Linked DNA regions of Neodiprion lecontei. The main gene of each other region encodes a partner of the protein of the gene in region 2 in a complex. Links are inferred from orthologs where the notes say so. Each region holds a gene or a part of one and is shown on either strand. Other genes may lie near its edges.

Region 1 (5,996 bases), on a different chromosome or scaffold from region 2:
TCAATGAACTCTGCAACAAAAGAAAGAGCGAAAAATATACGAATGAAGGACAGAACAGAATGCACAAGATCATCTGCAAATTACTCCATTGGCCCTCCATTCCTATGGTACTTTTGCTTTCATCCCAATTCATCTCCAAAGTATTGAATAGAGCTTGTCAGAAGTTTCTTGCCAGTCAGCGTCTCGTGCTTTCCACACATCACCATCATCAGGAGGATATTTTCTACGTTAAAACATGTGACAAACTCATTTAAATCAATTTCTAATACGACTATGCGAGTTTTTGTCGCTTAATGTGCCAGCTGAAAATTCACTCAAAAGGGAAAAGAAAAGAGAAATTTCCAGAAACATCCCGTGCAAAATACAGGTGGCTCCGAAAATCTTTGGCTGCTTAATTCTTATTTCGGATATGGCTTTACCAGTAGCTTGAATACTTGAAGAAAATTTGTGAGATTTCAATTATTGAAATGATATTTGAGAAAAAGAAAAAACGTGTGCAAAAGGCTAGTTTTTTGTTATCATTGTACATTTTGTATCTGTCCACAGAATAATATTTATGCATGTTACTTCTGAAAAAATAAAATACTTTTACAGGTTCCTGTAAAACTAAAAATACCTGTCTTATGATGACTTTTTGTGAATTCTGTGGCATATTTTTTCCAGTGCTGGAGAACGTTGTGGTTTGGGAGTTGGAGACTATTGATGACTTGGCGTGGCTAGTCATTGAAGTAGGGGCTGGTAATATCTTGGCAGGGGGCTTCACAGTCGTAGCTGGGAGAATTGTCATTTTGGAAGGTTGAGTTGAAGTTGATGTGACCAATTTATTCACAATTATACCCTGTACAAACATTTAAACACTTAATACACTAAGTCAAGTTACCTCCGGCAAAAATTATGTGCAGAAAGGTTTAAAAATGTGCACGTATTCCCTTAGAATGTAAATTTCCGAGTTTCCCAGTTTTTCTGAAAAATCTCTTACAATTTCTAAACATTTCTAGAAGTTTTACAGAAATATCTTACTTCCGAAACAGAAAATTAATTTCAGTACATCTGTGGAAAACCCATGCCATTCCTTTGAAAATTCTGATAACTTTCTGTAATCCTAGTTTTACCGAAAATATTTTTTTTCAGACATGTGATTCAACTGTTCAACTGAAAATTTCAAATCTCTCTCAGATGTTCATCATAATTTTCTTCTATGCAATGCCAGTAAGTAATACATAGAAACACCAAATCTTGAACTATGCGAGGTGCTGGTTACTAAATTCGGTTCCAGAATCATATAGGTATTCTTTAGAAATTGGTTCGATCTTTACTTCCTAGTCAACTTTTTAAGAAATAGTCAGAAAACAGAAAGCTTAGAATTTCTCAATTTTCAACAGAGAATGAAGTTTTCAAGAAATATGAGTAATTCCCAGACCCCATTTACAACATCTGTTGAAGTTATTGAATATTCGTAGAATAAATCGAACGCGTATGAGCTACAATAGTCTTACAAATATTTCTTTTAAGTAACAATACCTGCTGTTTGTGCGGCGACGATGGCAGTATCTGCTGTATCTTCCCGGAGGAGAGAAGTCCCATTTGCTGAGCTTGTGCAAAAGTTATAGTTTTCGTTGGGCTTGCGATGCTCGGACTGGCTCCGCTACTCGTGATAAACTTGATAGTCTGCGGCTGCTGATTGTCATGTTGGGTGTTGGCAAGCAAAACCTGTTGACCTGTCTGGCTCTGATTACCGGTCAGAATCATTTTTGTGTATACCTGTTTATTCCGTTCAAATTACATTAGAAATTTGCAGTAAATGGAAGGCAGATCGATAAGAATTCAATAAAAAACAATTGTTACACCAACAAAGCGTAAAATATTTCTATTTCAATTTCTCATTCAGGTGATAAATACCAGTATTCGATAGCACACGATCCATGAAGTAAGACTCACGTTTCTGTTTTGTTGTACAGACTGAGCTGGTCTTTTTATCGCCGACTGAACAGGTTTGACGTTCTGTACATTGCTCAGAGTGATGGTCCCAGATTGGCTAGTTGTCACGATGGGTCTTGAACCTTGTGCCGATCTCAGCTGTACTATGTTGCCGTCTGCAGACTTGGCCGTTATCAGAGTCTGAGCCAGCGATTGTAACTGACCAGGCGATGCTGTCGATGGGTGAGATATTTTCAGTATTTGGCTTGTGCCTTGGCCACCTGCTGGTGACACAATCATTATTGACTGGCTTTGAGACACTTGTGGCACAGTTGGCTTCACCTGAAAAAAAGTTTTACCCAAGTGTAAATAGCAATGTTCAAGTTTAAGGATGATGGGCTTCACGGTCTAAACCAAAGACTAGGAAGAGAGAGAAAAACATTTCAATAATCTGTAAAGTCACAGAAATAATAAAATGGAAATTTACCTGTATTGCCGACACAGGCACTCTTTGCAGGGTTGGTTTAGTTTGGAATACAATATTTTGACTATTCTGATTAGCTGCTGATGAGTAAGTTATCTGTTCAGGCTGAGCGTTGTCCGATAGATCGGTCATCTCAATGTCAGACGCTGTAGTTGTAGACTCAATGCTTCGATCGAGAAGCATAGTTTCGTCGTCAGTTGTCATTACCTCTTCAGCGTTCATGCATTCAAATTCAGCCTGAATGCTTGCCAATGCCTCAAAGTCGTTGTTCGAGTACTGCTCTGAGCTGTGCGACAAACTTAGAGCGCTGAAATCTCCATCGCTCAACGTTCGTGAATCCAATGCCAGAGGTTCAACAAGGGCTCTTGCCCCTGGGCTTTTATTACTTGCAGCCATACTCTGCTCAAAATTTATTATTCCTTAGCTGAAATTGCCAAATTGGAGATACATTTATAAGCCAGTTTTGTAAAGCGGTGAGTTTACACACCGAAAGGTATTATCGATTTACAAACATGATCACCTGGCGATTAGAAGTAGACTCATTACTTGCACAATTCATGCTTCAAAAATAGCTGTGCTTTATATGCTTGCTGAAGATAAATAAGCAGCAAAGTGTCATAGTTGGAACTTTTTCCAAGGAATTTTATCTCAAATTGGGTAGCTAAAAATTTCATTGGGATAGGAGAAAAGCGAAATGATTGTAGTCACTATGTAGCAGTATAGTTTGTTGACGTTGTTTGTACTATAGTTCAATACTGAGGATAAGCGTGATTTTAAAAATTCAAAAATTCAAATAGTTGTTAATGATTCAGGCGTTTTGGGAGCGATAAACAAGCGAAGGCGTGGAATCGATCGCTAATCGGGGAAGCAATAATGGGCAGGGATTCGAAGTTTGAAAAATGGAACGAACAAATTTGAATATCAATGCAAAACGTTTCGAAGCTTGGACGACAGACGGTCGCATTAGCGCCATTTGTTACATCAACGCGCCATTTTAACACAAACAGTATTCGATGTGGATTCAAGACTATTAAAATTAGGTGAATAGTTGAAGATTCTACTTATTCTGTGAGTATAATACGAGAGAATTATTCAACGCATCTGAGATCGAAATATTCACACGAAAGAGGCTCAAAATTGCGAAAAATTGAAGTTAACCTAGAACTCAGTTGTTTGCAGAAAGTTCGTGCTGCGCGCATACGATGGTTCACATTCTGACTGAGCAATGACTCTAATTACTTCAGAACTGAAGCACAGTTTAAAATAAATGCGATTTGAACGTGCTCTAAATTAGTACTGCCGAATGTTCTGAACTCACCTGCGTACTTTTCTGGCATCCCGAATTTGTTCAAAATCACGCGCCCACCATTACTATCCCAAGATGCACCACGCGCTTCTATTCTATATACGAACAGACCCAAAGTCATTAATGGTCGCGCTATACGTGGAAGAAATTCTAACCGTTCACTTGCTGCATCGCTTCTCGGGATACATTTCTGACACTACGCACAGTAATCTCCTATCTCTGTTGCACTATTTGATCGATGGATCGCTCGGTCTCACTCCTAGGGAATTTTAGTTTTTAAACCAGTGCATGGTGTACAAAATTATAATAACAAACGTGATAGGCACAGAGAGAAACCTATAGGCACAATTGTAGTATAGTTGATATTATATTATTATATATTTCCCAAAATATAGATGTATGTACAAGAAATTACAGGTTTAAGGGGCTGCTCTTATATTTATAGTATATATTTCCAAATATCTAAATCTCAAACACTTATATACTACTGGAGGCATGGTTTCTACGAAATCGAAATTGTAAATTCGTAGAATTTATGACATTTATTTATTTCTGCGTCAAATGAAAATTCGTTGCAGTGTTTTTGTTTAGAATTGTGTATAGAATGGACCTGTTAAATCTTTTGTCGCATTTGAAATACGTGGACAACGTTTACAGATATACAGAAGATTACAAATGTAAGTTGTAATATATACTACGTGATTTAAAAATAAAAATGTAATTTGTATTTCCGTATCACCGGGCGTAGTAGAGTTATACACGGGAGGACCACGGGGAGGACTTGAGTTGAAGTCCTCAGCTCTACGATGGGAAGCAGGGGGAGCAACGTGGGAGCAACTCGCAAAAATTGTAAGAAGGGTCACGTTATTCAGCCGCTACTGACCTCCGTCCCACACCCCGCAAAGGTAGTCGTTTATAGTGACATCATGGAAAGCATGTTGCGGGACTGGTAGTAGCTCTGTTCGTTTTAATTACACTTTCTACACTTTTTACACTTTCCCTAGAAAAGGGCACCTTCCATTGGCTAAATTCAGGATAAGTGTAAAAAGTGTAGAAAAGTGTAACTAAAACGAACAGAGCTATTGATTATTAGTATTATTACCATGATTTCATTTTTTCTTATAATAAAAATTTATTTACCATTATATAATTATGAATAACACATACAAAATGTCATATTGCACGCAAGCACTGTTCAAATTATTGAAAGTACATCGAAGTTGACCCCCAGCTTTGCCCGCAGTTACTTTATTTTTCAAAAGAATGTACCGGATGTACACCACATTCGCTGAAAATTCCGTAAAATAGAGGCAGCGCTTACCATGATTTCGATAGAGGAACAGAGATGTAGAATAACTGTCGATACTGGATCTAATTTCGGAACGCAGGAATGAACTTGTTTCTCATTCTACGTGTTTCACAGCATTCTTCAATTTGGTCGAATTGCAAACGACGTCTACCGTCTTCGTCGCATCTTCAAAACGTTCGTGGTCGTTGCAAAAATTGAAGAACCCGATCGAAAGAGATTGAAACCGGTGCAAAGCCGAATTACCGAAACTTTGGGAGAAAATATGGTCGTGATGATGGCCTCGGTGAGGCAACAGCTGAGTACTTTATCTCATGCCGGAGGTTCTCACAAGGACCAGGCAGAAAGGTACGTTTCTCTGCTCACATGCTGTCTCATGTCGTCTGAATATTAATTCCGCATGGTTTTTCAGATACCGAACGCTATTGGATTTTCTGGTAAAATCTGCGGGCGAGGAGTTGGTTGACATGCTGAAACTCTTTATCGAAGCAAGTATGTGCACATTAATCAATGTATCTATTATTTACAGCTGATTCCTTTTTGTAAATCTATTCGCACGGAATCATTACATACTCAAAACATTTATTATGTTGCAAAGAAACTAATGGTGAATTATTTATATTTTCAGTCGTCAATGAGAACGTAAGTTTGGTTATATCAAGACAAGTTTTGACAGAGGTTAGTAGCCGGTTGCTGGTCTTACCTGATGAAGTTTCAAAGGCTGTTGCTCATTACACCCTTGATAAGGTTTGCTCCTCTTAGTCTCACTATTATGTATTCGCCATTGGGCTTTACGATTATAAAAAATGTACATTATGGCTGGTTTTGTATTGTGTAGACTTGATACAAGCCATCTGAGCAGTTGACCAAACATAATTGGTTTACAGGAGAAATCCCCCTAGTTTTTTCAAACTTTTGTGCTTGATACACATGTGTACTTGTGTACTAGACTGTATACAAGTCGAAAATATTGTTTGAAGTGA
Region 2 (8,671 bases):
AAAGCCCATTAACGGCAACTGTCTTTATATACTTTAGTCAACGATTCTTCGTTTATTCTTCGGTTCTTTCCAACAACGCATCGCAAGGAAGCGTGAAGCGTCCGACAGATCCATTATATTAGCTTCAACCTACCATAAATACGATCAAAAATAAATTTCCAGTGGGTACAATTATTGGTTTACAGTCTGGAATGTTATAATGCGATACCAATGTAAGGTTGAAATTATTTATAACTGAATTATAAGCTACTTACTTCGTAACTTCAGAAATAATATTATTGCCGATAAACAAACTTCTGATTTTAATGGTACATTTGTAATTTGATTATGAATAAATGGAATGAGATGAAATATACAACCTCGTTTAATTATTCATTTAATAACAACCATATTACAACTTTTATATTCGAAACAAAAGATAATTCAAATTATCGGTTTTTTGTCGTATACGATTTGCAGTATTGCACGGTCTTACGCAGTCGATAAACAGTGGACGATAATTATCGTACACGATTACCTAACGGAAGCTCACGAATACAGCTACATAATATCGAATTCGATATTTCTATAGACTTTATAAGTCTATGGACATTTCAGACCATGGAGAGTAAAGAAGAGAGTAAAGGAAACCTCCGTGAAGTTGGCCCCCCGAAGTTGTTATTTTTAAATCTAATTAATGCAATTCGTTTGAGAATCGTTTGAGAGGGTTTGAGAGTAAAGAAAAATCGTTTGAGAGTTAATAGTTTTTTCGGAAACCTGATCCTAATTTTGGGTGTGAAGTTGGCCCCCATATTTTCTATCTCCTCAAAAAATAGACTTAGACGTTTAATTTTTTTTTTAATCGTTTGAGAATCGTTTGAGAGGATTTGAGAGTAGAAAAAAACTGTTAGATAGTTAATATTTTAATTGATATACCTCCGTGAAGTTGGCCCCCCGGAGTTATTATCTTTAAATCTAATTAATGCACCAACTTCACACCCAAAATTAAAATCAATTTTCCGGAAAAACTATTAACTCTCAAACGATTTTTCTATACTCTCAAACCCTCTCAAACGATTCTCAAACGAATTGCATTAATTAGATTTAAAAATAACAACTTCGGGGGGCCAACTTCACGGAGGTCGGAATACACCCTCAGACAGCCCCCTGACACATGCTGCTAAAAGTGGTTCGCCAAATGTCCCTCGATTCTGCCGCCAAGTTCCACCACTAGTGGCGCCAGTAGTTACCTGACGAGCTTGCGCGCGGTCAGCGAGGGCAGCAAGCGTGTCGGAAGTCTACCTGGAGTCTACTAGCGCCACGTAGAGGAATTAAAAAACGGGGACAAGACGCGTACAATTTTTTAGTATACGAGCAGTGGTGAGTGTCAGGGGGCTGCCCTCATACATCTCGCATACGATATCTAGGGTCTTTAACTCGAGAATAGAGCCCCTATACGATAGTTTCTAGTGTATAGCATTCAAGAAATTTCGTGGAGTGTTGTTCAACGTCACAGCAGCCACCAGAAAACACTATGAAATTTGTCGTTTTATCTAACACTCTAGAGGTGCTTCTAATTTATAGTGAGTACATCATCTATGTCCTCAACGATGTATGGCTGAGGCCTTTGACGGTTCCCGGTTTCGGAGCATTCGCGTCTTTTTGGCGGGCGCAGTGTTTGGAGGTAGCCTAAAACTAGCTGGTTGTACAGAATATCTATTTCAAACCAAACACAAATGGGAGACAAAGACGGAGGTGAGCGTGCTGAGCGATACTTTAAGCCATAATCAAACATTATTTCTTCTATCTCTACGCACTTAAGCAATTTAAAGTTGTTATTGATACATCCCAAATCCCTTGTGAAAGACTTGTATTTTTACTAGCTTACGCGCTTCACATTCCGAATCGCATTCACAGCTCGCGTAATAAATTTATTCCTGTATTACATACACCGCGGATTTGCAAGATTATAATTTCGCAGCTCCTAGGCAATCGCGATTCTACGCATCTCTCAAATATTTCAGAACATACACAGCATCTACTTTTGCACAAAGTCGAGCGCAACGTTCGAGTCCCTCTTCGACTAGTTATTTGTAGAGGCCGGTAATTTTTTACTGCAATATAACAGTATAAGATAATATTTTTGAGCATACGTACATTTTTATGCCAACTTTGAGCGATTTGATAATAGCACTGAGTTCGAGCCATTATGAATTCTATTTGCTCATTTTTCATTGTTCGCATCTTCTGTTTGAATGGATGAGGTTATCAGCTGATTTGAAACATGAAGTAAACTACTGAATTATTTTAATGTAACCCAATGCCACAAGTACCCTATAGAAATTCATACATTACATCCACTTTAGACAAAGCAATTGCTTCATGTTTATAGATACTGAACAATCTTTAATCGAGTTTCCGAAGATGCAGCCTCACCCAACGAAACATGATCATAGTCATATGGTCTGGGAATGTTGTAATAGTGAGGAAACCTTTAAAAATTTCAAAGTCATTATATCGAAATGAAATTACACGTTTAAAACCCTTTGCTCGCTAACTGTGATAAATATACTCGTTACTAGTCCTTGGCGTCTAGTTGCTAGAGAGAACTGAGCATTAGAACCCCATAGAATTCTATTTGCCACATGAAAAGTTAGGAAAAGCTGGAAATATATATATTTTTTCGAATTGAGAGAATTACAAATTTGCATTCAAACCTGTAGTTTGTAGTTTATTATATTAAACATTGGAAACATTGGAAATGCTCATGCGGATTTGAAAATAGAAAGTAGGGAAAGGGCTGATCCAAAAAGTCTTACATACACTCATTTAAACTAAGATGAAATGGATGTATATTTCGTTTATAATATTCTTGAGAAGATCAATTAACATGAAAAATGTTTTATAACATAGACAAAATACATGTAAAGCAATGAAAAATAATTCCTTAACGTGGGAAAACATTATTTTATATTTTGCACATGTGCATTATTTTTCATTATACTTTCAATTTTTTCTGGTCCAGTAGTTTTGCATACATACCATGCTGAAACATTTCAGTTATACATTATATCATTTTTGTATATGTCTTTTTCACTTATGTGTTATTTATTCTGGTCCCTAGCACCATTTCTCTATATCAACGACAATTACATTGAATTGACAATCACCTAGATTTTCAAATAAACATCATCAGTATAATTGTTAAAGCTTTCCGTACTATGTATGCAACCAATTTGCAATGAATAATTACTGCATAAAGTTTATTACTTATCTCGCATCCTATATTTATTCAATGGTATTGGTTCAGTTTACTGTAAATAATATGATAAAACGCCAACTCCGAAGCCATTTAAAATCATAAATTCAAGTAAAACGCATTAAATAAGAAATCATGGATTTTCGTTTTAACATTATTCTCACTTATAGATCATAATTTTCATACTGTTTAAAAAACGTCTAAATAAAGTTTTATTGTGTTTATTCTCTTACTCAACATTATAATGTGATTTACAATAATGTCACTATGAGGCTAAAGAATTAGTTGGAAGAATTGTTCATAATATTTGATCAGGTTTGATTTATTGAAACCTGTTGATTTGATGTCGAAACTTGAAAAATTCAGATAAAGCATAGGAAATCTAGCAGTATTTTTTGATACAAGAATGTAAAGGTAGCAATACCGCACAGCGAGTGCAAAGGCATAGCACGAGCTCAACATCGCCACCTTTTGATCGTGTATCCCATGCTACTTTTTTATTACATCTGCAACGAAAATTCTGGTTTTATTTTTTTATGCACCGTCCACCCGCATTGAAGAAGTCTTTTAAACCTGGGCACGAGACAATTTTTTTTTTAATCTGCTAGCGGTACAAGAACACTTGCCTGCAACTCTATTGGCCGCTAGCGGTTTGAGAAAGTTTTCTGGCACTGGTGCCTAAAAGACTCCTTCAAGTACCTGTGGATGGTGCATAGAAGAGCGCTTTTGGTACAGGTATTACAAAAAAGAATTTTAAATGTTGCATTTACTAAGACTTTGTACAGTTGTCCAACACCGGACGCTACCCATGGTATGATGTGTAGTTATATTTATATCTTGCCAAAAAATATCAGAGTATTCTATTTCGTTATTTTGTAATCATTGCAAACAAGTTTTTCTATCCATGTTTAGTGATTATTAAAAGGTGTTAAATTCATACAGAATAGAAGTTTTTTTGGGTAGTTATTTGTTTTTGCAAATTTTCAGCAGTCATGTTCCGACAATGTTTAAAAAATGTAAATATTGCATAGATTAAACTAGAAAACTTACTTTCACGCACTTCAAATACAAACTGCAGTCAATGAGCAAGAAATCTACCTGTTGTTACACAATCATGCCTGATGCTTATTTCGCCAAATAAACGTTATCGGTGACATGTAGGATGTAGAGTAATGGTCACAAGTTACAAAATAAGGATTCCGCGACGGCAATCGGCATTGAGTTTCGAATAGGAATTAATTTTATTTGGTTGCTGGACAACTTGGTTGTGAACAGTGACATGTTTACACCATCTGTAGTGCTAAATTTACTCCAGAGAAAATATTTGCTCAAAACTTGTATCATCAATGGAAAAATTGCATTATATGAACGCGTAGTCTTCTTGCGAGTCATTCGTGTTGACAATAAAAAATTAATTTCCTCATATTGGTTATGCGATCATTTGACGAATGAAGGAATATTTTTCAGAAACATTTGACGATGCGGTTGAGGAACGTGTCATCAATGAAGAGTACAAAATATGGAAGAAAAATACTCCCTTTCTGTACGATCTTGTAATGACTCATGCCCTGGAGTGGCCCTCCCTTACAGCTCAATGGTTGCCTGATGTTACAAGACCAGAAGGGAAAGATTATTCTGTGCACCGTCTTATTTTGGGTACTCATACTTCCGATGAACAAAACCACTTGCTAATTGCCAGCGTACAGTTACCCAATGAGGATGCACAGTTCGATGCTTCTCATTACGACAATGAGAAAGGAGAGTTTGGAGGATTTGGATCTGTCAGTGGAAAAATTGAAATCGAGATAAAAATCAATCACGAAGGTGAAGTCAACAGGGCACGTTACATGCCGCAAAATCCATGCGTCATTGCTACAAAAACTCCCTCCAGTGACGTACTAGTATTTGACTATACCAAGCATCCCAGCAAACCCGATCCAAACGGTGAATGCCATCCAGATCTCAGGTAAAAAATATGAATAATTATTACGTTCATTGTCAAATTCCTTGCATAACAATATTATATGCATCACACTTTCGTAGGTTGCGTGGACATCAAAAAGAAGGATACGGCTTGTCGTGGAATCCAAACCTGAACGGCTACTTGTTGAGCGCATCTGACGATCACACTATATGCTTGTGGGACATCAATGCAACACCTAAAGAGCATAGAGTAATCGATGCCAAGACTATATTTACTGGTCACACAGCTGTGGTGGAAGATGTCGCTTGGCATTTGCTCCACGAGTCCTTGTTTGGATCAGTAGCTGATGACCAAAAACTTATGATTTGGGATACAAGGTATAATGCTGTGTTACGAATCCAACTTTTTTCATGCTTTAATTCATTTCTCATACTAAAGGCTTTAGGCCATTTGAATATGTAAGCAAATTATCTTTCATTTTACTAGCATGGTAATTCGAGTATATACCGGCGTTCTATAAAGTTACCCACCGACCATAGTAGCTCAGGTGCTAGCACTCATGGCTGAGGAGCAGGAGGACTCTGGTTCAAATACCTGGCTTGTCAATTTGGTCCTGAACGGCAATTTGCAAAAATGGAAGATGCTCACGCCGTTCAGGTGCCGGATTACTGGTCGATGGTTTGGACTTGGGTCCAGCTACACCTGAACAAGCTTTTCGGCAGTTTCCCTTGTCCCTTGTGCAAATGCGGGTGTTTCTACTACAACTGCCACAAATCCCTGCTATACTCCTTACTTCCTCCCATCGATTGCAAATATAATTGTGATTAAAAAATAATAATTATTATTATTGTTAAAGCTATTTGGACCACTGATTTTTTTAAAATAGTTACTGAGACAATTTTCAATTACAAATATTACTAATTACCACTTATTTCTTTCTGATTATTAGCTATTACAAACATTTCACTAACACTGAACTAGTTCAAATAATATATTGAATAACCGGAGTTTTTCTAATGTGTTTTTATGCTTGCGGACAGATGTAATAACACAAGTAAGCCGAGCCATACTGTGGATGCTCATACAGCAGAAGTAAACTGTCTGAGTTTCAACCCTTACTCGGAATTTATATTAGCCACAGGCAGTGCTGACAAGACGGTAGCTCTGTGGGATCTGAGAAATTTGAAGTTGAAGCTTCACTCATTCGAGTCCCATAAAGACGAAATTTTCCAAGTACAATGGTCACCGCACAATGAGACAATTTTGGCTAGCAGCGGAACCGACAGACGCTTACATGTTTGGGATCTGAGTAAGATCGGAGAAGAACAGTCCACTGAAGATGCTGAAGATGGACCACCCGAATTACTGGTAATATTCACTGAATTCTACAGTTTGCAGCCAATTTTGACTCGTTTCGTTGTTGTTCTGTATGTTAGGTACTATTATAACACTGGTAAAAGAAGAATCACTTTTATTGTTTTTATTTCCTTATTGTATTTTGTGGTTAGAGAGAGTGAACAACAGATGTAGAAACTTGGGTTTGTAAAAAGTAATTTTTTTTATTACCATTGGAAAATCACGTAATATTTTTGTTTTAGTTCATTCATGGTGGACATACAGCCAAAATAAGTGACTTCTCTTGGAACCCCAATGAGCCATGGGTTATTTGTTCTGTGTCAGAAGACAACATAATGCAAGTTTGGCAAATGGCTGAGAACATTTACAATGACGAAGAACCAGATACGCCTGCAAGTGAGCTTGAGGGTGGAGCGTCATAATTTGTTGCAAGTAATTTATTACTAATGGTTTATACCTAATCTTCTTGTACCAAATAATAATGGTTCATCGTCATATTTCACAAGTTTTATTGCATAAGGTGTTTATCATTTGGTTGAACGTTACTTACGAGATTTCGGAAAAATCACTTTGAGCTGAACAAGCAGGGTATTTGTAGATATCCTTGTTAAAGTCAGGTTATTCCACGTTTATCTTTACTTTTGTACAGCGTTCTGTTGATCACGCGAGTTGATCCCTTGGACACATGAGGCTGACTGCAGTTAACAATCATTTTATTTCGGGCACATACAGAGAATTTATTAGTATGTCATTAGTAAGATGAAAATGTCTCTTGTTCAAGTTCATTTATGTTGATCGTTAAATTGTCTTCATATACCTAAAAATCTCTTTGTAATATTGTAATACATATACCCAAATTTCTCACGTTTTTTTTTTTTCGACATAGAGCAGAGAGTTTTAGGAGCATACTAAAATGTAATTTTCAACAGTTATGGAATAACAAGAATTTCTATGTGTGCCCACAACATATGTAAGTCAAAAAATTGAAATTGTTGGTTATCGACAAATCCGGATGGATACAAAGATAGTAAGAATAATCACTTCATGCAAATTATGTGTTCAATGGGTCATCTCTTACTTAATTATAAATATTATCACTGAGCGAATTGACATTATTACTTTTTCTACGAGTGAAAATATTCTTCTAAGACATTAATTAATGAATAAACATAAATAATTTCACAAAACTCACAATCTATTATATGTACCAGTGTCATGTCATCTGGATCAGAATCTGAATTGAACTGTTTTTTATATCAGATCTACTGTTTGTCTGTTGTCAAAGTTTTACAAGGTATCCTGGCAACAAAAAATGTGTAATGAGTTATGTTATTGTGTTGATTAAAAACTTTGATTACATGATTTATGATTGTTGGTAATTCATCATAATGTACGTAACCGTTGGCGGGAAGTTTAAATTTTTCATCTAGAAAATTTAAAATGAAATAATAACGTAATCATTTTGTGTTTCATTATCTATTCTAATACCGCGATTATATTATATTTGTATTAGGTGTTTGATTTATTCTCATCATAGTCTTTAGTATCTCAGGAATATCATTAGTTCAAAGTTCGTTTGCATGAGCATACTCGTACGAGTAGTTTCTCAGCGTTAATTATTGTTTTTGATAGTAAAACAGTGAAAAGTTGATTGGAGTGTTGATTCATTTTCTGTTTATATTTACGAGGTATACGTGGGTATACAGTATCGTATAAGTGACTAACAAAAATCTACAATGGTTGTTTTTTCAAACGCAATAAAGAAACATTGTTTAACGCGATAAAATTAAAATAAACCCTGATAAATACAAAAAAAAAAAAAAATTACTCAATTAAATCGCTCCTAGTCTGGATTTTAAATAGTTGTAGTCGAAAGCTCGTCGTATATCTCAGCAAGAAGTGAAGACTCCTCAATTTCTTCTCTATGTTCTGGTGCAGGATTGTCAAGCGATACAACGTCCTCACTATCAATACTCTCCAGTCTGTAGGGCAAATCAAATTGTACTGATAGCATTTGAGATTAGCATGTGAATATTCACACATTACCAGTAGATTCTTCTCGCGGCTGGCACATCGCCTGCGGAATGAGATCTGTGTCTGCTAGCATGCAAATGGAATTAAAATAATTCAAAAATCAATACTCAGCATTCCAA
Region 3 (8,667 bases), on a different chromosome or scaffold from region 2:
TTGAACATGAAGAAAAATCACGTTTAAATACAAGTTTTTCGTCATATTATTTAATGATCTTTTACATCATATAATTGTAAATAATAACATACCTTCGAAAAAATGATTTGTTCTTCATTTAATGTATCAAACATTATTTTACTCGTCAAAAACTTTTTTGTGTGACGAATATATCGTTAGACCTAAATAGCATATATTACGCAGTTCAAATCTAGCGCGCATTTTGTGACAACTTTCTGTACAAGATGGCGGAAATTCAATTGTTCAATTGGACGCACGAGCTTACACGTAGAGTATACGGTAATATCCAATCCAGTGTATATATATATCAGTGGTAGCAGCGCAAGGTACAATTTCAGCAGCTTCACTAGTACCGAAACTTATTTTTTTAACCGCACTAAAATAAAATGGGGTAAATTGCATTACTGGATCATTGATGTGGCATAATTATTGATGAAATTAGTCGAGTTATCTCAGCCTCAGCTATAAGGACGGTTTATAATGTCCGTAACCGTAACCGCTTCCGTAGAAGTTTCATTTTGCGTAGAAATTTCAAGACTCGTTTACAACCTCCATAAGGTATGGCCTCGCTGTTGGTTGCATCTGCAACGGATAGCGTTTGAGCTTTTCTTTACGTGCAGAATAATATTTCTAACCTCAAACTGAAGTAAATTTTGCTAATTAATTATGGTTCGTAGTGTGAGCTCAGTTTAAAATGAAACGAAAGCGTTCGTACGCAGTAGCAACTTTAGGGTTAGTAACAGTGTTATATTTTCTGATAAAGAAAAGAAAAAAACAAAGGCGAAAACGGCGTTGGTGGATTCGTCCTATGCTACTCGACAGAAAAGAAAAAGGACAATACAATAACCTATTCAAGTTTATTCAAATTTTTTAAATATACAAGAATCACTATCGTCGCTTTCAATTACATCCATGAGCTCTAGTATGCGTCTCCGTGCCATCTTATTTTTCTTTGATAATTTTTTCATTTGACTGTACAACATCATACAAAAATTCCAATTTATATCAGATTTTGTATCTTGGTCGTTGCTCAAAAAGTGCTGTACGGTTTTCAATGTATCTTTCACCGTTTCGATCAGATCTTCATTGTTGTTTTTTTTCACTTTTTTTCCATTTCCTTCTTGTGGAGGATTCGTTAATGGGACAGTTCGCCTTTTCTTGGGCGGTAAATTCACCTTTCCATTTTCATCTGTTATAATCATGCCGATAGAGTCCTCTTTGTACTGATTTTCATCATTCGAATTTAGAAATTCATACACATCCCAATCATGCGCTGACGGGTCCATATCTGGTTCTTCATCCGAAGACAATGTTTTCTTCTGGGAAGAGCATTGTGGAATATTACCAATTGTCCTGTAAAATAGTCGACGTATAAAACATACATTCAACAATGATCATTAAAGCGAATTTCAGCTGTGAAACATCGTTTTGTCCTTGGTCAATAAATTTGATAGAAAAAGACAATTATGTTTCCAAGATAAAAACAGTCTTAATTTGCTATCAGACGAAAAATGAAACTTACTTTCTTGGTTTGACGTGCAAATCGAGGAATTGCATCGCTTTGAAATAGCTTGATGGCTGCCTGTCGGAAACACCGCCTGCAGCTCCCGATGGTGGACCAATTCTGGCACAGCGCTTTTCCCGTGAAAAACGCTCACGCAACAACTTCCACCTCTTCTCACAATCCTCAGCTACAAAATATCAAGATAACTTTAAGCTTGTATCTTATATTTTTACAACACATTATGAAGAAATATAGTAGTTTGTCGTCAATGAATTTGGGAAAGATTTATTAAATTTGTTATAAAATGTTTTATGTATAAATTTTATACATATATGTTTATATATAAACATACAAAATGAAGTAACCTTAAACACTTACTTGAAATATTCAACTCCCGGGCAATACGGAACCACGTATTGTTTTTTTTTTACCCTATCTTTATAATCACCGCTACTTTTATCATACAAGCACGGGGCTTTTTCAACTAGTCCAATTAATTTCATATCGAAGCTTTCCATTGTTTTGCTTGCTGTCGTATCTTCAATGACTTATTTTTCCTTTCGTTTTGTGTGCTTGGGGGTGGGGAGATGGACGGATATAATCTGCATTCTGATTGGCTGTCCGTAGAAACGCTTCAGTAGAACGTTCAAATTCGGCTAGATTCTACTGAAGCGGATTATACTTAAGCGCCAGCAGACAGCGTTGTAAACCATAGTACGGTTTTTCATATCCTTTAACTTCCTACTGAAGCGGTTACGTTTACGGTTACAGACATTGTAAACCGTGCTATAGGCTCCAATCGGTCCTGCGGCCGTTTCCAGCACATACCTATACGTTTATGTTGCTTCGGTCAAGAAGACGCCCTCTATGATTTAAACCCGAGTTTGAGTTCAGCCAGTCGGTGATGGCGTATCGCGTGCGGCAATTTCGAAGAGGAGTGCGTTTCGTTTTGAAAATTTTGACAACGGCCTTTTAAAATGGCAGACAATCAGCAGAGCAGGTTCGAAAAGTCACTCGGTTTGCTGACGACGCGGTTTGTAACTTTGTTACAAAAGGCGAAAGACGGAGTATTGGACCTGAAAGTGGTGAGCGGCGTCGATACGTAAGCTAGCAAAAAGTCACCGCGAGATCTAGGTTAACTTATTATGAGCATATATGTGTACGTTTTCTGCTGGTGTGGTTCCTCTTGCGGGAATTTTGAAAAAAAAACAACATGACAAAAATGCCAGACAATGTGCAAATCACGAGTTCCAGTTCATGAATTACAATGCGGGTAAATTTTATAAGGGTTTGGAGTTAACCACAGTTGAATACAGAGTTCATAATGAAGAAACTAATCTCGTTAGTTTCCTAACCTGTAACACATTTTTATTGTTGTATGATAGATAAAGCACTCGAAATTTGAATTTATATATTATGAGAATAAAATTTCTGACTGCGTGTGATTATTCAATGGTTATTACATGAAACGTTCAAACTTTTACAAGACTGATACATTAATCTGTGCCAACACTTTCCCTTAGGCCGCTGATATACTGGAGGTGCGACAAAAGAGACGAATATACGACATCACTAATGTACTCGAGGGAATTGGGCTGATTGAGAAAAAAAGCAAGAATAGCATACAATGGAAGTAAGTTTGGACATGATAAATATCATTGCATTATCACTCAAATAGTAAGGCACGGCACAAGCTACTTGCATATTTGTAACAATGTGCACATTTCAATTTCGGGCTTTTAATTTTTCAATGTACATTTGCTCGTTTTGTTTAATATCACTCGAATTTCCGTTTGCTTCAATACATCAATGTTGCTATTGATTTTCAGACTAGAGTATGATTATTTATAAATCATTGATCGAATTATAAGTAATAGAAAAAGCTGTTGGATACACATAAACAAAAACAAAAAGTATTACGATGAAAGTGTACTACAGATATCAAATAGTTTCCAAGTTCAAACATGTCGTAAAGTTCAGAAAATTTCTACTTTATATAGAAATGATGGTCTTGCAATTGTGGTTTAATTAAATGAAAGAGTAATTTCAGAAGAATGGCTGGTTCAATGGGACGGTGCCAAACCACATACCCAACATCTGTAAGGAAATGTGACATATTTGAATGTGATACAATTCAAAAACCATGCTTGAGAGACCGTTTGATTTAAGATTTTGATGATTCTAACACACTGCAATCAGAGATCTTCGCAATCAACATCAAACCCGTCCAGTGATAAGATTTTTCACACCATCCAATTGCTTGATTATGTATCGATTCATAATCACGGCACTTAACGCAAGCCATGGAGTTACCTCAGTTTACTGGATCCTCCCGCTTGATAATGATCCTCGGTACTTGTCTTATACAGTGAATTTTATTTGGTGTTCCAATCCTATGTTGTTTCGTCCAGATTTTTATTTGGTAATAGATTTGGTCATACAAAATTTCAGAGAAAATATTGAAAACTTCGAAAATTTGAAAGAAGTCATTGAATTTTATTCAATTTCATCAATATATTTATTTCATGTAAAAATAACCGTATATTCACCTTGTTAATCCTGATTTTATCGAAAAGCTAAGGAAACTACGTAAAAAATATGCTTCCAAACAATCAATATTTCAATGGTTTGAATCCTCACGCGACCAACGCAACCTGATTTTCGGATTTTTCACAAAAGGTTGCATAAGAAACTGTCATTGAAATGTGTTTTACCGTGGTATAAATTTATGATAATTTGGAGATTAAATTTCTCTAACTTCCACAAGTATTAATGCTAGTGGTTAAGGCTCATGTATATTTATTTCGAATCTTCGTTCACTTATCTTCTTAACAATGAATTTTCAGTGGCAGTTTTTTGTGCAATTTTTTCTGAAGAATCTGGATATCATGGAATCGTTTGGCTGCCTGAGGATAGAGTATTGGAACATTAACTTTTTAGAAACATCATTTTTTTACCTTATTTTTATAGATCTTCAACAAAGTTATGCATACATTCATACGGCTTCAAGAGACTTATCATTTAAAATAGAAATAAAATTGAAATACAGTAGAACCTTGATCATCCGAACCCTCAATTATTTGAACATTGGCGCGAAAGATACATTGTTGCTCGCTGCCACCGCCGTGAGCAACAATGTATCTTCGCGAAAATCGCGGGCATGCAAAAACGCGTTACAGACGTTCGTTGATATAAAATTGACGATGTCATAAAAAAATATAAACAAAGGCATTCGAGTTTTTTCAGGTGTTTAAAATACATGCATACACACACGCACGCGCACACACACGCACACACATATATTTCAACGTTACTATGTATGTCAAATCTTAATATATATATGTATGTACTGTTTTTGTGTAAAAATGTGTTGTTTGTGATCTCAATCCAAAAAACCCACGGTTCGATTATCCGAACTAGTCTCTGTCCCAATTCGTTCGGATAATCGAGTTTCTACTATATCTTCATCAGGTTTATAGAAAAATACTTTTAAGAAATATCCCTTTTTTACAGAACTCCAAATCTACCAACCCTTCAGAGTTAAATGTATACAGGAATTTTGTAGTTATGCTTCAATACTTGTTGCTGATGATGATGCCGCATTTAATTTTTGCCCTGAACCTCTTTCTTCATTGGCCATTGCTCTTTTCGAATTTACCATCTAATATTCATTACACTGATGAATTAATGATTATGGTATTACAAAATTTAACGTATCATCAGAGGTGCTGGACCTGGGTGTAACACACAAGAAGTTGGTGAAAAGCTGACCGAACTGAAGGATGAAATCAAGAAACTAGAGGAACACGAACAGTTGTTGGACACGCATACCCAGTGGATTCAACAGAGTGTAAAGAACATCGAATGTGATTTAACAAATAAGAGATACGCTTACCTCACGTATGAGGATGTCAAGAAAAAGTTTCAGAATGAAGTTGTGTTGGGTATTCAAGCTCCACCGGACACATTACTCAATGTACCAAATATTGCAAAGGTAAAGAGGAGCGAAATGAAAAAAATGTAGTAAATATGGCTGTAAAATTTATAATTTAACTGTTGGTCCTCTGTTTTGACATTCAGTTAATAGAAGAGAATCTTGATGAAATTAAGAATCCTAATTACGAGATATCCATGAAGAGTGCATCGGAAGAAATTAAGGTGTACATGATTCAGCCAGAGCTCGCTGAATGTTATGACAACAAAGTACTTGAGGCCAGACTTCGAGAAGAATCTAAAGGTACTAAGAGGGAAAAGGATGGAGATGATAAGAAGGAGGAATCCAAGCCAAAGAGAAAAGTTGGAAGGTAAAACATAAGGCATTTAAATATTATTAATTAAAAAAATGAGTTGAAGAAAGGTACTGCGCCGCTTTCGCATCAGAACCGGTGAGTTCACGTTTCTGACCTGCAAAAGGCGAAAAATAATGATGAGGGTCTTATTTGGGGGATGGAAAGTCGTAAATTTAGGCTTGTTCAATTGGATCAGACCCTACAAATATCCTCTATAGAAATTTTATTCATTGATCACAAATCTTGTTCCCTGTGTAGGTTTTTATCAACTGGAATTGAAGAGAAATCTTCAATACAATGTTTCTTGCAAATCAATTGCCTGAGATGCAAATTAAAACTAATTCCATTTTGCTTCTGTTCAGGCCACCTAGAGGGGCTGGGAAAGTAGACCCTGTATTATCAGACGAAGACGAGGAAGAGGATCCAGAATTACTCGAAGCGAAAATTATACTCAGCGATGTAGCAACGTCAGGTAAAATATACTTAAACACAAAATATTCATATCGTTTAAAATGTCCTGAATTTTATTCATTTCATCACTTGTGTTTTCATTTGTTTTTGTGTTTTCTTAGACATTGTCAGAACAGATTTGGACCTACTGGACGAGTTTTATTCAGATTGTAAGTTTATATTGTCGTTTTTAATTTTTACTACATCTACTACACAACTGTAAATGATTTATTATGTCTTCTTATTTGCCATTCTCGAAGTCGCTTATGAAGTTTTTGTTTCGATAAAGTAATTTATAGATCTTCTGAAACCCATAGTATTATAAGCCATATTTATTTTATGATTAAACCTGATGTCAGTATATGTCAAATAATTCTTCCTTTTGGCTTTTGCATCTACAAAAGAAAGGCAAACTCACCAATTTTGCGAGCATTGGAATGAAAATTTCGTATGAGTTATTTCATGTCAAGCCGGACACTTTGCGAGTAAAATATCGATTGACAGTTTTAATTTTCCTGAGACTTTTTTGTGTATGCTTTCAATGAACAAATGAGAGGTGTTTAACTGCAAAAATTGGTATCTGTATTTTTGATTATGTAATACGTCAAATTTCAATTTTATTTCAAACGCTATTTTCTAGCAGCTATATCTATCAAAGTAGTTAAGATAATTGAACAAACAAAGAGGCATCGGGTTTTGAAGTAATATAATATAATTTCTTTTTAATACCAATCTGCTGTAAACTTGATTATCTGAATTCTTCGACCATGCTCTTCTTTGTCGATTGCCAATTTTTAAATCTTGAAAAAAAAAATTGTATTCATTTACTAAATATACATTGATCATACTGGTATAAACCACGATGTAGTATTCGTTTTTAAATTACCGTTTGAAAAAAAATTATATGGCATGAGTTTGAAAGGTATTTCATGCACTGTTCGATACCTGTATTTTTCACACTAGAAGGTAAATGTGGGTATCAAATTTGAAATTTAATATTGTCTTAACATAGAAAATATGGATATTACATTTTTTTCGTCAAACGGGGCATAACTCGCGTATAAAAATGATTACTTCTCTTCATTTTCGTGTCAAGATTTCGAAACATCTAAACATCAGTTATTGAGTTTTTTTCAAGTTGAAAACATCAATTACAATATCCAACTTCATGTTAAAGTTTTTGTTTACATATATTTTTACAGTTTGCGGACCTTTGGTGAGACTCAGTCCACCACCGGGAGAGAAGGACTATCATTTTCATCTTAGTGAAAACGAAGGACTCTGTGACTTGTTTGACATAGTTGCAAACTGACGGCAATACATTAAAAAAAAATAGTTTATGGCTCCGCGGTATCGTGAAGTTCAATTTTCAGGTGTTTTTACGCCTGATGAATAAATTGATGTGAATTGGATTTGACAATAATGCGTCATACCCGTAATCACACTAGATCATTGTCGACCACCCTGTATTGATATACATGTATATAATATATATATATACATATATATATATAAAATCACGTAGGTAATATGTATAATTGAGTAATGAAAATTGCGGGCCAATGCAAAATTATTGGCTCTGATACCTTAATTAAATGGCTATATTGTGAAGTACCTTTTTTGGCGTATTACATACGTGAAAATAACTGCCAGTTAGCGATGTCTATTTTTAGGCAATAGATTCACACGCTGTAATGTTTGCTTGGCTACACTCACAAGAATTCCACGTGTCTTATGTTAGTAAGGATTAGTGATTAGCATCCTTTAACCTGGGATGCTAGGTAAAGTATTACCTAATATCGTATCTTCACAATTTGTATAGCAATGCCTGGGTTCATGAATAACGTGACACACTTTGTTAGCGCCATTGATTTAGTTTACGAAATCTAGGAAGGCTATGTTATGAAATTTTTAAGTATTTTATAAGAGAAAACAACCCCCTGTGTAACGATGACGACAAAAAGGTATACCTGTCTGTCTTATATACATTTTCGAGTTTTTACCTGTTAAATTTGCTAACTAGCTCATGTACACCTGAGTAAAGTCGACTCTGCCTTACTGCTGCCTAATTTTAGTAGGTTGGAAATAGGGTTGGCTGCACTGGTGTCTAACATACGCGCACATTGAACAACAGATGCCGCGCCAGTTCGATGAGGCGCTGCCAGAGCCAGCCGTATTTCTCACCCACTGAACTGAAAGGGTCAGAATTTACTACTCGGGTCTGCATACAATGTGTATGTGCTAACGAGATCATATAAGGTGCATACAGATGTACGAAACAACATTGTGTTGCTGTTTTATCTATTATACAAATAGAGTGTAAGACAAAACGAAAATAGAATGTCTTTTTATAAAATAAACTTCGAAATATGACCAGATTTTAGATCAGTCGGACCATAAAAT
Region 4 (8,877 bases), on a different chromosome or scaffold from region 2:
TATTCTTACACTGTGGTATTTCAAGATAACAAATTCACCGAAACTTTCATAGAATCAAGCTATAAGATACATCACTGACTTGATTGGTATCTTGAAATCAGTATTGTTATGTTACTAGCAATGAACTTCAGTACATTGTTATACATTATTCTCGCACAATTATACTCTTCAAAATTCAATGTTGACATTTCTGCATGAATCAAAAGCTCACTTACGAAGACTTTGAGCATATTTAACTGTGTAGAGTTAATATAATTAATAATATAATTTTTTCAATTACGTATAGGACATAATCGAGCGCTCAAAATATCCACGCAATAGCAATTGCTACGATGCTTAACCATCAGCATTAGCATTTAGAAGGGTAATCGAGTCAATGTACCAATACTAGCTTGGTTGGCAAGTGAGTGAAATGCAACCTAACCAGATTCAAACTACAGTAGAGCGTCTATTATTCGAACTAATTGGGGGTGGCAATCATTTAGATTATCGAGTTTTCGTATAACCAAACAGTGTGGGAATCAACCCCTAATTCGTTGAACGTAATAGAATATGTACATAAAACATCAGATTCAATATCGGGGCTCACTTTTTTCACAGCTCTGCAGATGAGTAGGAACTGACACTGGAAAGCCAAATGTGTGCAAACTCCTGTCTGGTAGGTGGAGAAGAGGTACGCCGTGCAAGTTTGTGCTTACAATGTCACACAATAATATATGTAGCGGCCTATTATGCGAAAAACCGGAAATTCAAAGTAAATAATCTTTATGATAACTGACGATTTGGATAAACCGAATCATTGCTCTGATAATTAATATTTTGGATAACTGATGTTCAGAAAATTAATGCTCTACGGTATAAACAGTTCAATAAACAAGTTATGTACGCAATCGTCGCCAATGCTTCGAATTGCGATGCTCATTTTTTACACTTATCCATTATTTATACGCGTTTTTTTGGACTCGCCTTAGTGGAAGTTCTACTTAAACGTAGATATATTTTAACAGACTATCCTCGCGTGGCACATGCTTGAGAGAGTGTTGCAAGTTTACTTCAAAATTTTGCAAAAAGTGTTAGCCATCCAAAGGTGGTCCAAGATATACCATTGAAACTTCTGTATTACCATAAACAGCCGATACGGACGGGTATAATCTCTTGTCGGGTAATCCTGTACAAAAATGTCCACTTCATTAGAAAATACATGAACCAACTATGACAAAATTAACATTGTTGGCAAAAACAATAATATACCTCTAAACGCTACGCCCAGGAATTCATAGTTTTTTTCAAAGGACAGTGTGTTGTCATCACAATCCAGTATTACTCTTATTTTCTCACCAATCTGAAATTAGATAAGCTTTTAATAAATTGATGTATCATGTGCTAGAAATTCTGAATTTTCATTTCAATAAAAATATAAACGAGCTCATACCAAGTAAATTATTTTGCATAAGTTTTTCACTCTATAGGACAGATTTGTGAGAAATTAGTAGAAGTTGATAAATTTTCAATTTAATTGGTGGAAAAATTTTTCAACAAATCTTACAAAGTACATGTTGCTGGAATTTTCATTCAAATGAACATTTGGCATTTGAGTCACACCGCGCATTGACTTCCTGAAATTTGGTGCCTGCAATTTGATGGATAAGAATATGTAGCAAATTATCAGCTTACCTGATACTTTGGAGCGTTGTTAAGAAGAGGATAATTGCCTTGTGCATCCCCATTGTGTAACAAATGATTGTCGACAAGGTTCCATCCCCAAGAGTGTTCGTCGGAACCAAGTAGAGCTACATACCCTTGGCAGAGTAGAGATGCTTCTTTCGTTGCTATTCCTATCACAGCTACGGTTCCCAAAGGACCTTCCCAAATTACCTCCCACGCATGACGTCCATGGCGGAATCCTATCTTACTCCGAGAGGCATCTGTACTTTGAGCGACTGGATTTCTGGAGGTTGAAAATGAAGCGAATATTGGAATGAAGAAAATCGCTTGGTTTGTGTGAAAATTTAAAGTAACGGGTATGTTGTGTGCATTGAAGTCAACTCAATCACAGCACGTGACAAAACGTAAAATATACTGCTATTGCACCTACCGGTGCAAAGTGAACCCGTTTGGTTTGATGTAAATATTGCGGGAACAATCGTCAGGGTTCCAAGCATGGTAAAAAGCTCGTAATTTGGCTTTATAGGTGGGAACCGATGACAGCAAATCCGACTTGAGCGCTTCTTCAGCGAGTTTTCTAATACAGTGTAACCGCCATACATCATTATTCTCATCGTTCAAAATTCTATACCAGTTCTTACACACCAAGGAACAATTTCGCAAATCGTGCAATTTTAAGTAGGAAAATATCACTTCTAAAACATGATCGGGAACCCTTGACGCTATATCGTCCATTTTGCCGGTCCTACGTGAACGACGGAACAAAATACAGGTGGGATGGAAAGGAAACGAAATAGGGAGGTCGTTCTGCACTGTGATTCGCAGATACATTGATTCACTGACGTTTTGTGTAGTAGCGCTGAGTTCCCCAGCTACACATAATTCGATACTCAATGACTGAAGTTTGCGGTAGACGGGGAACGATGAGGAACGGAGCGAACCACGTGATCAGCACTGGCCAATCAGCTGTTTAGCTTTGTGCTACCGCCAAGCTCGTCTCGGCTCTACTTGCACTAAAAAGCTGTATTTTACTGACGCGTTGTTAATGTCGTGATAACGATTCAACGAGAAGCTGTGTGTCGCGCACGATAGCGCGGTTAGTTTATTTTGATAATTCGCAATATTATTGATACTTGGTAACCGGGTTTTTACAATATTTACTTCACAAATAGTGCAATGCCGGAGTCGCCATTTTGGTGATACGTCGAGTCCGACCTAACTATTGCACTTATGATCTTTTTATTTTCACGCGAATTTCAGTCCGCTTACGGGATCATATTTGATACCTTCGATATCCAGAAGCATCAGTGATGACCCAGCAAAATAAAACGATGAATTTCTTGATACACGACGCAAATGGTAAGTCGTCCAACTGGCGCGCCAACAATCGGCACGCACGGCTCCGTCTCTGAATATTCCTTGTCGAATGAAGTGTGAAACAATACCTCGTGCGATCAACCGAGGAGCGCGTTTTCTAACCAAATTTCACGATTCTTATATTTCGCATATCCATTTCTATTTGGATTCGTCAATTTGATCGCAGGCTCCTTGCTAAACTCAATCACGTTAAAACGTGTGTTTCGCGTTTACTACCAGAATACCGCGAACGAAAGAATGCAATTTTTGCAATCTTTGTTTGTAACCGAATCTTACATTAATAATCTTGATCGAGATTTCTTTCTAAGGATTTACAGAATATCCCAATCACTTTCATTTACTTATCGATAACTAGAACATCCCACTGTATAGTTCTGGATTTCCTTACGTTAAACTTACAATTTACACATTGACACTGACAAATTCTCTGTTCTTTTATTGATATACTTGTGGAATCCATGAATAATAAACAAACATATTTAGTACTGCTCGCGTGATTGTAATTGGTTCACTTTCATTGAGAAATAGCTATTGGAAATTGAAGATTAATGTTAAATGATATTGCTGTTTGGTATTCCTATTTTAGTTAAACTAGCTGTATTGTTTTCACGTAATAACGTGTATTGATAATCAGTCGTACACTGAATATCATTCTTGTAGATCTCAATTAGGATATAAATAATTCATTATTGTTCTTCTTAGCAACAAGGGCATTCCTTATTTGCCTTCAAGATCAATCAGTTGATTTGCCTCTAAAATTTGTGTACTACAGCAGCATTGACTCTTGAAGGACGAATGCCATTCAATATGAAATCTTAAATATTTCAGTATTCCCTACTGCTAAACACTTGATACTACTCAGAAGAGCCATCTAATGTACATACATTAGTTGATTAACTGAAGTTTTGGATCATATAAAATTGTTAATCTGTGATATTTTAAAAAAAATAAACTTTCTTACAGGCCAACCACAAGTTATTAAAGTGGTTCCGAGCACGCCGAATAAAGCACTAACTGGGCTTGTTAGCACCACAAATTCCGGGAGTTTGAAGGTATTCAAGACACCTGGCCAAGATACCCAAGTAAATATCATTTAAAATATATAATCAGACTCGCAACATTTGTATCATTTTTCTAATAATTACCATATATTGAAAAATTGCTCTACCAATATTCAACAGGTTTGCAAACATATTTTAATTATGTTATACAATGAGTACAATCCATATTATTCTGCACTCCCATCTTGAATATTTTTTACGGTTCCCATTTGTATGACTACTGAGTATGGTTCATAAAGCTTTCTAAGATGACACTGAAGCTCATATTTATAGACCTATTCGGATGAGCTGATTCATATCACAATTTAACCCAATGGCCACAAACAGGAGTTCTCAAAACAAAAATTCAAACTGTCTCACAACATATAGTATTTCTGACGTGTGCTATCTTGTACATTTTTTAATCAAGGGATTCAATAGATGATACGCAGAATTATCCCCGCCTGCTAGTGTAAGCTTCCAGCTTCTAGCTTCAACTTTGTATTTACAGGGTGCCCAGTGGTCAGTTAAATGTGTAGCAATTCGGGGGATATTGAATCACTTAGTGAGTGGGCACCCTGGGTTCATTGTGATGATATTATGACCATTACTGTTTGCACACTCAGGTCTTGTCCAGTGGGACACAAGTACTGAGAACCATCAGTTTGCAAGGTTCTTCAACACCTGGTCAGCGTGAGTATTACAGATTCTTACCTAGTTTCTTGCAGTACATATTGACGGATCCTATGAAAACAGAAGTATTTCGATGGGTCGGATAGAACACTTATATTTTGCCGCGCAATCTAGAATGGATGTAACTTAAAAAGTGTTACAGCATGTCCATACAGAGCTCTATACACAACTTTTAGCATCTTTTAAGATAGATCCGTTTTAGGTTACCCAGTGAAATACGGCCTTTCTATCTGGACTGTCAAAATATGTTTGTTTCTATAGGACCCATCTATATATCTGTCTTTTCAGTTATCAGAAAGTTCACATTTCTCATGTAACAAAATATTTTTCTATTAGGCTTAGTTACCATCCCTGTACAAAGTGCAAAAATGTCATCTGTAAAAGCTGGGGAATCTGTAGTGACAAAAACAATACAACTTACAACTGCTCGAATGGTAGGTTACAACATCATGAGCATTGGGAAAATATGAATCAGGAGCTATTCAAAAAAGACATTAGCTTTTCCTGGGGGATCCTGGATTATGTGGTAGTAGCATAAAGCACACTGGTGGGGGTGCAGATGAACATAATGTTCAGTTACTGTAGGTAGATTTTTAATCATCTGCAGCCCAGGTTGATTTTATTAACGTTAGCTCTACTAGTGTGGTAATATTATATATTATATTAATTTTTATCATTTTGTTAAAAAGTTTCTATTGAAATGAGAGTTTGTATTTTCAGTATCTAAAAACTATCAGAAGTGGATTTGTTAAATATCAATTCAGGGGGATTAAAGTAAATGAATCCATTAAACAAAGTTGATGTATTTTTTGAATGGCCTCTGATAAGCTTGATTGGATTTTGTGTTATGATTTAATTTTTTTATTCAAATCTTTCCATTCAACAGAATGATTTTAAACAAGCGTTGGTATCCCAGCCTCAACAACAGGCCAGCAATCAACAGCAGATTGTCAAAGATCAATCTGGAAAGACTTTCATCAGCCCCATTTTGGATCACAGTGGTTCGAGGAAACGACAGGATGTCGAGAGCAGCGATTTTACCCCAGAGTAGTGAGCTTGGACTATTCTTAATAAAAAACTGAACCTTTTCCTGACGGGGTTTATCTCTGAATATTGAATGATGCACACGTTTGGTTTTGAAATACATATCACGATGAAATATCATAGAACTATTGATCGTCAAGTAGCACAATAAATTCACGAATCTTTCAAAAAGTTCAAAACAGAGGACAGTTTAGAAACTTATCTTTAAATAAAACATGAATCATTGATTTCAATTTGCAATGTGCAAACACATGTCACTGATATTATCTGACTTATTTATCTTAAAGCAGCGACAACTTTTAAGCATAGGATGCATATCAAAGTATGTGTCTGAAATCGGGAAAGGGTTCGTTTTCCAGATTAATAGATCTGTATTAAATTTACAGCAAACGGAGAAAAACAGAAAAAGTTGGAAAGGGGCTTCGCCATTTCTCTATGAAAGTCTGTGAAAAAGTGAAAAAGAAAGGTACGACATCATATAATGAAGTTGCTGATGAATTAGTTGGCGAATTCACCAACCCTGCGCACATAAATTCGTTAACTGATCAGGTAAATATCTTTTATCGTTGATATTTGGAACCTTGTTGTCTTTTCAGGCAACTCACAGATAGTGCTTCAAAGTTTGATCTTAGGTGCAAAAGTACATAGAGAAATGATCTCAGTCTTGCCAATGAGTGTCAAAATTTGCTTATTCAATTCCAATTTCACTCAGGATTAATATCTCTTTTGCAGCAGTACGATCAGAAAAATATTAGGAGACGTGTATACGATGCATTGAATGTATTGATGGCAATGAATATAATCTCCAAGGAGAAGAAGGAGATAAGATGGTTGGGTTTGCCCACAAATTCGTTGCAAGAGTGTTTGTCGTTAGAAAAAGATAAGAAAAAGAAAATAGAGAGAATCAAAGCCAAAACTCAGCAGCTGCATTCGTTAATTTTGCAGCACATATCGTACAAAAATTTAGTTGAACGCAACCATAAAAACGAGAATTTTCATGGACCACCTAAACCTAATTCTGCTATACAGTTGCCATTCATAATAGTTAATACCAGTAAGAAAACTGTTATTGATTGCAGTATTTCAAACGACAAGTAAGTGTCAGTCTTTCTTTTTCATGTAGTATTTTTTTACACAAAATTAGTTCATGTTTATAATTTATAGGAAAGTTCGATTTGCATATTTTACACGTATCTACGAGTAATGCTTCTTATAATATTTGTATTACTTTCAGAACCGAGTACCTGTTTAATTTTAATGATAAGTTTGAGATCCATGATGACATTGAAGTTCTGAAAAGAATGGGTTTAGCCTTTGGTAAATACTAATTTAATACTTTGTTCCAAATATTGATAAATTTGCACGAAAATCTCGGTACAAATGTACATTTGCTTCAGGCCTTGAGAAAGGAGAATGTACTGATGACGATTTACGGAAAGCAAAAACTATGGTACCAAAGTCCCTTGAAAAATACGTTGAGCGTAAGTAGCTCTAGTTACACTTGATTTTATTTTAAGGTAAAGGTGCTGTGGCATAAATCTAATATTATCAACTAATATCCATAGAATTGGCCTCTGGGGATTTGGAAAGATTCATTCCTGTTACAATTCCTGGGCCGAGTACATCGATGGATGAACTGGAAATAAAATTAGAGGAATCTGGATCTCGGCCACCTTCTTCTTCTCGTACCTCTCTCTCGGAAGATCCTTTGTCTCCACCTTCCCAGTTTTTCTCTGAGGAAGAAGATGAAGAAGAAGAAAGCGACCAGGACGATCAAGTCGACAGTGATCTTGAGGCTAACTAGCATATCCATTCATCATCCTCTTAACATATTTGGTAACCACGAAATTGGGCTTGCGGTGTCGTTTGAATTACACAAACGTAAAATCATTTTTATAGAAACACTTTGCATCACCAGGTGCTTTGTATTATTATTGCGCCACGTTGCCGAAATCGTTGGATGCAACGGATTGATTATACAGTGATTGAATTTTCATGCCTTCTCACTGAAATGGAGTCTCATACCTTACTTGGTTGGCTAATTTTTGCTGACGAAATAATCGAGACAATATCAAGGAATACATCTTAACATTGCCGAAACAATCTATTTTGGCTGTAGGAAGACTCCAGAATTACATTCATGTTTCAAAACAGCTGAAATTAAATTTTATATTACTGGAAGGTATATTGTGTTGCAGGTTGAGAAGTGTAATGAACTAATAACAGCGAGTAGGGTACATGTCACTTTCTTTCTTTTATGGAATAGCATAAGACTAATGCGTAAACGTCCGTAAATCGTATTTCATGCCACTTTGATTGTTATTGCTCGGATACGAAAGCGACGAGTTAGCTAACCGACGTGCACAGGGACTGAAATTCGGTGCTATTTTAATCATGCGTCGTGTCGTGAATTTAGACACTTTAGAATGTATGTACTATAAATAACACAATTATAATCTTACATTAATATTATTACATGTATAAAATATATCTATACCACTCATTTTCTTATGGCACGTTTATGATATCTGTGGTTCACAGCAGGACGCAATATAGCAAAGGAATACAGAGAGAGGTCTAACTAATTTGAAGTGAATAAATTGTAAAATTATTACAAGTGACTGTATATTTTTTTTTTCTTCAATTCAAGTTTTTAATACATTTTTATTATTTCTGCGTAACTTTACTATTCCGGATATAGAATGCCAAATTTTTATTTGAGCGCAATTTTTTCCGTTAGAAAACATATTTAATTCACTTGATATGGAAAATTCATTGAACTTTAAAAGATTACTTGTAGAAATTTATTTTATGCATACTGCTGTATCGATTTTGCGTATTTTATTGAATTAGTCTTTTACCCAAAATAGGAATTTATGTTGCAGTTCCAGTAATACAAAGTAATCATTAGCTACTTATTAATAATTAATATTCTTCAGTTTAGAAATTGTTATTATTAACAGGATTAAGTGTGATACGATTATTTAGAAATAGGTATTTACGTAATTTCTCTTATTTCCGAAATATTTCAACTCTTCGTTCCATTAATGAGCATCTT

The links.
Region 1: chromatin assembly factor 1 p55 subunit (region 2) and protein lin-54 homolog share a complex: the UniProt entries of both Drosophila melanogaster proteins name them as parts of the DREAM complex. The link is inferred for Neodiprion lecontei from reciprocal best matches to the Drosophila melanogaster genes Caf1-55 and mip120.
Region 3: chromatin assembly factor 1 p55 subunit (region 2) and transcription factor E2F4 share a complex: the UniProt entries of both Drosophila melanogaster proteins name them as parts of the DREAM complex. The link is inferred for Neodiprion lecontei from reciprocal best matches to the Drosophila melanogaster genes Caf1-55 and E2f2.
Region 4: chromatin assembly factor 1 p55 subunit (region 2) and transcription factor Dp-1 share a complex: the UniProt entries of both Drosophila melanogaster proteins name them as parts of the DREAM complex. The link is inferred for Neodiprion lecontei from reciprocal best matches to the Drosophila melanogaster genes Caf1-55 and Dp.

Annotation. Positions count from the first base shown.
Region 1 is NC_060261.1:11,990,493-11,996,488, forward strand, and holds the start of protein lin-54 homolog, read right to left. Parts: upstream 3,796-5,996; 5' UTR 3,720-3,795; intron 2,826-3,719; 5' UTR 2,798-2,825; coding exon 2,405-2,797; intron 2,260-2,404; coding exon 1,939-2,259; intron 1,762-1,938; coding exon 1,522-1,761; intron 839-1,521; coding exon 617-838; intron 11-616; coding exon 1-10. Other genes in the region: COP9 signalosome complex subunit 4, read left to right, coding at 5,279-5,361, 5,426-5,505, 5,642-5,760. UniProt on the Drosophila melanogaster protein: Component of the DREAM complex, a multiprotein complex that can both act as a transcription activator or repressor depending on the context. In follicle cells, the complex plays a central role in the site-specific DNA replication at the chorion loci.
Region 2 is NC_060260.1:23,046,030-23,054,700, reverse strand, and holds chromatin assembly factor 1 p55 subunit, read left to right. Parts: upstream 1-1,595; 5' UTR 1,596-1,715; coding exon 1,716-1,734; intron 1,735-4,705; coding exon 4,706-5,204; intron 5,205-5,281; coding exon 5,282-5,539; intron 5,540-6,202; coding exon 6,203-6,530; intron 6,531-6,760; coding exon 6,761-6,940; 3' UTR 6,941-7,485; downstream 7,486-8,671. Other genes in the region: slowpoke-binding protein, read right to left, coding at 8,374-8,500. UniProt on the Drosophila melanogaster protein: Core histone-binding subunit that may target chromatin assembly factors, chromatin remodeling factors and histone deacetylases to their histone substrates in a manner that is regulated by nucleosomal DNA.
Region 3 is NC_060264.1:11,856,255-11,864,921, reverse strand, and holds transcription factor E2F4, read left to right. Parts: upstream 1-2,376; 5' UTR 2,377-2,502; coding exon 2,503-2,610; exon of another isoform or gene 2,611-2,627; intron 2,628-2,656; exon of another isoform or gene 2,657-2,792; coding exon of another isoform or gene 2,793-2,798; intron 2,799-3,048; coding exon 3,049-3,158; intron 3,159-3,575; exon of another isoform or gene 3,576-3,791; coding exon of another isoform or gene 3,792-3,877; intron 3,878-5,248; coding exon 5,249-5,519; intron 5,520-5,605; coding exon 5,606-5,829; intron 5,830-6,176; coding exon 6,177-6,286; intron 6,287-6,386; coding exon 6,387-6,434; intron 6,435-7,466; coding exon 7,467-7,576; 3' UTR 7,577-8,642; downstream 8,643-8,667. Other genes in the region: uncharacterized protein LOC107216924, read right to left, coding at 879-1,374, 1,544-1,578. UniProt on the Drosophila melanogaster protein: Transcriptional repressor that binds to E2f sites and represses E2f-regulated target genes. Binding to E2f sites requires transcription factor Dp. Acts synergistically with Rbf2 to antagonize E2f1-mediated transcriptional activation.
Region 4 is NC_060261.1:34,105,472-34,114,348, forward strand, and holds the start of transcription factor Dp-1, read left to right. Parts: upstream 1-2,633; 5' UTR 2,634-2,761; exon of another isoform or gene 2,762-2,925; 5' UTR 2,926-2,975; coding exon 2,976-3,024; intron 3,025-3,892; exon of another isoform or gene 3,893-3,918; intron 3,919-4,005; coding exon 4,006-4,124; intron 4,125-4,708; coding exon 4,709-4,775; intron 4,776-5,111; coding exon 5,112-5,209; intron 5,210-5,661; coding exon 5,662-5,825; intron 5,826-6,205; coding exon 6,206-6,368; intron 6,369-6,551; coding exon 6,552-6,913; intron 6,914-7,053; coding exon 7,054-7,136; intron 7,137-7,216; coding exon 7,217-7,300; intron 7,301-7,384; coding exon 7,385-7,623; 3' UTR 7,624-8,877. Other genes in the region: F-box/SPRY domain-containing protein 1, read right to left, coding at 1,074-1,168, 1,252-1,342, 1,675-1,948, 2,096-2,400. UniProt on the Drosophila melanogaster protein: Component of the DREAM complex, a multiprotein complex that can both act as a transcription activator or repressor depending on the context. In follicle cells, the complex plays a central role in the site-specific DNA replication at the chorion loci.